2 linked regions of the Drosophila melanogaster genome follow. The protein of the gene in region 1 interacts with the protein of each later gene in a pairwise test. Each region holds a gene or a part of one and is shown in the gene's direction. Other genes may lie near its edges.

The links. The genes of interacting proteins can lie anywhere in the genome.
Region 2: the proteins of CG3529 (region 1) and NC2alpha interact in a two-hybrid assay, tested with the Drosophila melanogaster proteins (one large-scale study listed by BioGRID).

What each region holds. Positions count from the first base shown.
Region 1 is NT_037436.4:9,444,956-9,448,710, forward strand, and holds the start of CG3529 (uncharacterized protein), read left to right. Parts: upstream 1-1,908; 5' UTR 1,909-2,040; coding exon 2,041-2,107; intron 2,108-3,432; coding exon 3,433-3,755. Other genes in the region: Srg3 (Sting-regulated gene 3), read left to right, coding at 747-1,330.
Region 2 is NT_033778.4:21,668,133-21,671,887, forward strand, and holds NC2alpha (negative cofactor 2alpha), read left to right. Parts: upstream 1-2,019; 5' UTR 2,020-2,114; coding exon 2,115-2,156; intron 2,157-2,363; coding exon 2,364-3,347; 3' UTR 3,348-3,461; downstream 3,462-3,755. Other genes in the region: PIG-M (phosphatidylinositol glycan anchor biosynthesis class M), read right to left, coding at 1-856; CG42380 (uncharacterized protein), read right to left, coding at 879-1,076; CG42379 (uncharacterized protein), read right to left, coding at 1,085-1,339; CG42381 (uncharacterized protein), read right to left, coding at 1,339-1,348, 1,405-1,561, 1,623-1,686; CG15676 (uncharacterized protein), read left to right, coding at 3,597-3,755.

The sequences.
Region 1 (3,755 bases):
GTCAACAAATTTCAATAGAAGCGTTGTAAAAAGCAATGTAAAGCCAAAAATAACGGAAAAATCGAGTTCGTTCTAAGAAAAAGAACAAAACAAAGTAGGAAAACAAAATGTGTAAAGAGTTTCTTGACAGTCTCAAAAGTGTGTAAACTTGGAATTTGTTGTTTATTTTCTTGTATATTTAATATTTTTAATTTGTTTTTTGATTTATAAGTAAAATAAATATTGTTTAATTATATTTTATAAAAAAATTGCGTTTAATTAAGCAAAAAACCCTTTATTTTTAGCTTTAAAGTCAAAAATTCAACTTATTTCACAGTGTGTAAACAGTTTCTTGACAAACTGTATGTGTCGCAAAGAATTCCGGGGAAAAACACGTTTCTTCTCAGTTTATACCCTACGTGCGAGGCATATGATTTGTCCTATCAGCCTGTTGGAACCGCTAACTCATATATTCCTTAATCTAACCAAAAACAAATTTTGCGTCGTATTTGTGAATAATGCACCGATTGATTTGATTGATTGCTTTAAGAGCGGCAGAGAGCAAAGATTACAGATAATAGGATAATGACTATTATAGTCAGAACACAATATTCTGTAAGAATCATGCAACTTATAGTTAGATCTAAATGGGCTTAAGATTATGGGTCTTGGAACAGAGAAGTTTAGCCGACTAACCAAGTCGGGACTATCAAAATATAAGTCTCAAAGCCTCACTCACTAATATACCCTACGTTCTCTTCTTTCAGAGGACGAATCCTATGAACTGTCCTCGGAAATCTGGGCCGTCGACATGGAGATCACTGACAGCGAGACCGACGACGTGCCCGTCAGCAGGAGCGTTAGCGTCAGCGCGAACGTCAGCGGGAACGTCAGCGGGAACGTCAGCGGGAAAGTCAGCGGGAACGCTAGAGGAGCCTTCAGCGGGACCCTCAGCCAGACCGTCAGCGCTACCGTCAGCGGGACCGTCAGCGCGACCGTCATTGGATTGGTCATCAACGAGTTCGTTCCAATGCCATTCAGTGGGACTCTCAGCGGGATCCTCAGCGGAACCCTCAGCGGGACCGTCGAAGGGACCATCAGCCGGACCGTCGACGGGGCCGTCAGCACGACCGGCAGCGGAACCATCGAAGGGACCGTCAGCGGAACCGTCAAGGGGACCGTCCGTGGGGCTATCAACGGGACCATCAGCGGAACCATCAGTGGGACCGCCAGCGGTACCGTCAGAAGGACCGCTGACGGAAAGCTCATTTTTGAGACAGGTGCAAGGTTGAACAATCGAAAATTCATTATCCACGAAATCTGTGGAATGAATTGTGAAATAACTCTTTGAAATTACAAAGTTTTTGAGATACATAACACGCTCTGTGAACAACCATGACTATGAGGTACCCGTTACTCAGCTAGTCGGATTGCGAATAAAATGAGAAAAAATTAAAATTGTTTAAAGATGTGGGTGTGATTACAATCCAAAAGGTGCAAGGTGCAAGGTGAACAATAAAACTAAGAACAATCTAATGTGGGCGTTGGAGTGGTCATGGAAACATGGGTCAACAATCTTGGGCTGCGTCTATGTCTCTGGAATCTGCACGCTTAATCTAAACATTCTAGCTTAAATAGTTCCTGAGATCTCGACGTTCAAACGTACAGACAGGCGGACATCGCCAGATCGACTCGGCTACTGATCCTGATCAAGAATATATATACTTTATATGGTCTGCCTGTTACATACTTTTCAACGAATCTAATAAACCCTTTTACTCTACGAGTAACGGGTATAACTATGTCATTATCTCAAAAACTGTGGATAATTCTTTTAAATAAAATGAAATAAAATGCTGCAGCCCTGGAAAAAAACCTATTCCTATTTACCCACTTATTGTAATGCATTTCTTTGTGGGTATTTTTCGCTGAGGCCAGCCATGGTCACTCTGCTGTAGACAAGTGCATAAACATTTCATCCAGGTGAACAAAAAGTAAATAAAGAACAATTTTAACCGCACTGCAACCCAACGGCGAGCATTAATAAGAAACTTCTCCACGATGGCTTCATTTTTCAACGTTGGCGCCTTGGGAAATGTTTTCTCCACTCCAGTTGGCCAGCGCATAGGTGAGTAAACCACCCTCCCCCCTCCAGCGTAAAAAAAACACCCACCGGAAGCGGGGGTGTGTGTATATGTGGTTAAAGCGTAATATTTTCCACAAATACAACGCATATGCGTTGATATTTACGCATTTACATTGATAGTTATCTGATTAGAGGACGCTTCAAGGCAGTCCCAATCAGACTGGGCCATTGGAAAATTGAATTTTCACAACTTTCTTCGTGCGTTTGCTTGTTTTCTTGTTTTGTTGTTGGTCTCTCACACACACGCGCACATTTCCATGTAGCGATACTCATTTGTTGTTGCCAGACCATTACTATGGCAAAGCGGTCTGATTTGATTTGAAAGGCGGTGGCAACAACGGTGGGCCTCTGATAAGATTAACCCTTATATGAGTATGCGGTTCCAACAGGCAGGTGTGACAAATCAGATAAATGTTTGTTGGTATGCTTTATGAAATTGCTCACCTTTTGGCACGCACACAAAGAGTATTGTTATTGATGCGCTCTTTTATTGTTTGATTGCCTGTTTTCCCTTCACCCCCTCCTGGCGGCCACCTGTTTTGCGCCCTTAGTAATCGCAATTAGTCATCGTTGCCGCTGGCCGCTGGGTTACATAAAAAAATGTGTTAATTTATTTCGTGTTCCCCTTTGGCTCGCATTTTCGCCATAATTTCCATTTGCCGCTGCACACACAACAAACACAGATACACACATTTACGTGCAATCGTGCATATGTATTAGTGCCGTACTAATTTGTTGCTTCGCTTTTTTTATGAGCTCACATTTTGTTATTGTATTGCGGTTGGTTAGCTTTTCCCATATCTCCTATATCTGTTGGATATCAGTGTTACGATATCTGATATCTGAGAAATACACTTTGCGCAATGGTTTCGTTTTGGATTTAAACAAATTGCTTTGTGCATTTTTAATTCGAGCAAGTCATTGCACTTGGTAGATCCTAAATTATAAACGAAAGATAATGCTCGCCCACCTGTTAAAAAACACAGTTTCAGCCGCCCATAAAAACAAACAAAGGAATGCAAATTGTTTACTTGGGTTTTCACACAGAAAACGAAAAAAATAATTACATCTTTCGGATCAAAAACCGCACAATTTACTTGGAATTATAATTAAATATATTATTATAATTAAAATGTAACGAGCGTTTTCAGAAATAAGATACAAATTTAAAAAAAAAAAATAGGGATACCTTTTTTGTTTTTGTATTTATATTACATGAAATATTGTTGCAGTTTTTTTTTCTGGAAGAACGATAGATTTAAAAAGATCTTAAGGTGTCAACTAATACTTACCTTCTCACCTTTCAGAGGCCGCCACCGATGCCAACCTGGCCTCGGAGAACTGGGCCGCCAACATGGAGATCTGCGACATGATCAACGAATCCTCCGACACTGCACGCGATGCTATGCGTGCCATTCGCAAACGCCTCTCCCAGAACGCCGGCAAAAACAACCAGGTGGTGATGTACACGCTGACCGTCCTGGAGACATGCGTGAAGAACTGCGGCAAGGCCTTCCATGTCCTGGTGGCCCAGAAGGACTTCATCAACGAGCTGGTCAAGCTGATTGGGCCCAAGAACGATCCACCAGCCGCCATGCAGGAGAAGGTTCTCAGTCTGATACAAATCTGG
Region 2 (3,755 bases), on another chromosome or scaffold:
AACCGTACATTGTGTAGAAGGTCCAAGTGAAGGCCACTAGGCTGATCAATGTTCCACTTATCAGGCACAGTTGTTGCTTGTTGGGCCGCAGGATTTGGCACAGGAAGTCGAGGGGAGTTTGTGTCAGCCGCGTTGATAGCGATAAATAGTATGCCAAACTGAATAGCAACGGATACAGACGGAGGTGTATCACTAGACCGTGAGCCAAGCCCGCTCCGAATATAAGCCAGTAACTCCTGGTGACATTGTGCTCAGATTTTAACAGCAGGTATATAGTTAGTATCACGAAGAAGCTTGAGAAGCAATCGCCGCTTCCACGTGTGGATATTACAGCCGTCAGCGGGTTGTATAACCAAAAGCAAGCAGAGGCGCGGGCCAAGTTCTCTGGATGACTTCGCTCATCCAGGGCATCCAGCGATTGGTCCGAGTCCCGTGGCCTGTTGAACTTGCTAAGCAGGTGTTGTACGGTCTTCTGGTACTGACTCTTGATTTCCATGTGCACCAGACGGTAAATAAGTGTGGCGATGAGAAGATCGAATGTCGCATACAGTAGTTTACCCCACGCCGGATGAAGCAGGATGTTAAAAGTCTGCAGATATGCCATGATTGGGCTATATCGGTAAGTATGCCTGGCGAAGGGTGTGTCCCCAGCCAGAACTTGACGGGCTCCATCAGTCACCACCTTGTAGTCTATATCGGTGTAGGGCACGGCGGACTGACTGTCGTGTAATTGTCCGTAGCAAATTAAAGCTATTCGCAGCAGGGCGGATATTAGTAGATGGGTCCGAAAGCTAGTGTAAAGGATGCGGCGACCCAGTCGCTGCCATCCAGTGGTCGCAGCCTTTGTTTGAGTCATCGTGTTTATTGTTTACGTTTGTCTAAAGCTTGGTCTTCATTTCCAAAGCGGTCTTGCGGATACAGCTTAGGAACTCCTTGAACTCGGTGTCGCAGATTTTGTGCTGCACGTTTAGATCACGCGACACGCAAACCGCATACGCAGTGGCTTTGTCCGCGCACTTGCTTAGCAGAACTGGATAGTTGCGGATTCTTTGGTTGGCTTTGCGCACCGATTCCATGCCTTAGCTTAGCGCTTGTGAGGCGGAACTTTGTTCTCCGGCGGTGGTAGGGGATCGGCGATAAAGCAGTCAAACAGGGGCTTGGAGAAGAAGATCAGAAGTGAGCCTGTGATGAAGGAGATCTGGAACAGGCGTGGATTTCGCTGAATCCACGTGCGTTTGGGTAGCACAGCGGTTCGCCTGCGCTGATTTGCTTGCTGTTGCTCCTTTTGGTCCAGCAAGTCTTGAATTTCCTTCGGAGGCCTATACTGCGGTATGGACATTATTTGTTCCTGCAAAACGAGTTGATAATAGTGTATATGGAATAGAGAAGTTGGCTACAACTCACGACTTGCCGGTTGCGTTCTTTTCCTTGGATGCGTCTGGTAGATAAGTCTTCTCCAAATCGATTCCACTGCAGCAAAGCGATTCCTTGTGCCACTTTAAACAGCACTGGCGCATTGCCTCAAGGACATCCAAGCACTTGTCCTCCTGGTAGTGATTCTCTGTAACCGAGTGCAAGTCAGCTTACATAACCATGAAAATGGAGTCACCGGCGGTGCTTACTGGTCAGACAGGCTTGTATGCGGCAGGCGTTCGGTTTGCAGGGATCCTTGCGAGTGTCAGACATGTAATCCTGCCCAGAATTCTTACGATATTAAATCGCTCTTGCAATATGTGAAAAGTACTTGGAAGTGTTCTGCACTCTTCTTCTTCTTGGCGGTTGTAGTCATTCACAGTGCACGATCAAGGTAGCCAGACTGCGCGACGGTCAGCTGTGTAGGAAACCTAATACATCAAAGCAAAATAAAAAACAATCACATAAATAACAACAAAAAGAAATAACATCTCTTATAATGTACAAAAATTTTTAATCTTTCAAATTTTGATATTAATACCTTTTGCTTCCCTGTGAATACCCCGCCTGCTGCGAGAGCAACTGCCATTCACCCATCGACGCCGACAGTTGGGCACCAAGGAACTGTTCTTGTGTGAAAAACACACACACATTTGTTTTATTTCACTAGGACTCTTGACGATTACTTCACAAATCGGAAAATGCCATCGAAAAAGAAAAAATACAACGCACGCTTTCCGGCGGTAAGTTGAAACCACCGATTGGCGACAGGAAAGCTCCAGCCATTTGGCGGCCGTGAACGCCGAAGATGGGTTATCAGTTTTCGTGCATGTGTACATACATATGTACATACACGCCTCGCATAATCAGAGGCTCAAAAGAAGTAGAGGAGAAACCAAACCGGTGCGAGATTATAATGTTTCCAAACCATTACCATAAACTCCTTGCAGGGTCGCATCAAGAAGATCATGCAAAGCGACGAGGAAATCGGGAAGGTGGCCCAGGCGGTGCCTGTTATCATCTCACGCACGCTGGAGCTCTTCGTGGAGTCGCTGCTGACCAAGACGCTGCGCATCACGAATGCGCGCAACGCCAAGACGCTATCGCCATCGCACATGAGGCAGTGTATCGTATCCGAGAAACGCTTTGACTTCCTCAAGGAGCTGGTCCGCAACATACCCGACATCAGTGTGGCCGAGGAGGCCGCCTACAACGAGGACGATGTGTTACGCAGCTCGCCAGAGGAACAGTATCCAGATTCAGACACGCCATATGATCTTAGCCTGCCATCGACGTCAATGCGCTCGCAGGCGAACGGCACAGCTGCCTACATGCGCTCCATGAGTCTGAACAACGGAGCCGGATCGGGCGGAGGAGCCGCAGCCACCAAGCGGCAGTTTCAGTCGCAGCACTCCACCCAGGAAACTCCCACCACCAGCACCACCCTGCCCGCCAAGCTGGCCCGCTCCGGGTCCATGCCGGCCTACACGCCACGGGGCAGACCGCCCAATCACCTCAAGAAACAGTCGGTGCAGCTCGATACTGCCATACCCGCCCCGATCTGCAACTACGAACTCAACAAGCCCATTGTCAAGATCGACTACAGCCACGTGCAAATGCCGACGGCGAACCTGTGCACACCGGACGCCTCTGATTCTGGGTCAGGATCGGGCGCCGGATCTGGAGCTTTTAACTTCGACATAGCTGCTCCGGTGATCAATATCGATCTGACGAATATCGTGGCCGGTGGAGCACCTGGCAGTGGTGTGCCCCCCGCCTCTATTGGATTACCAGCGGCCACGCCGGGGGACAACAATAATGTGAACCAAATGGCTGGAAAGAGCAGCGCTCCCATCATTCCAAAGGCCACAGCGGCATCAGCGACCCCCACTGAAACCGTTTTCGAATTAGACGAAGACTATGACAATATTTGATTAGGATCTATGTGAATGCGCTTTTAAATTATTGATACATTAATATGTACTCTAGGTCTAAGAAATCACAATAACATTTTTTGCAAAATAAAGACCATGCTGGATTTTAAGCTGACGCAATGCGGAGTACTTTAAATAGAGAAAGAAAATTTATACATTCTAGCAGATAATGCTGTTTAATTTGCATACGATATTAAATCAGTTTATCTTTGAATTAGATGTACTAAACAAGTTCAACAATTATTGAAAATGTTTGCATTCATAGACACCATAAAAAAGCCGCCTCTGGGCGGCCGAAAGTCATTTATGCCCATCCCAGAGGCCAAGTTAGTTGACGATGTCGTCAGCTACATCGCCAAGCCAGAGTTCTATTCGACTGTTCCAGCGGCATTGAAGATGCAACGCCTT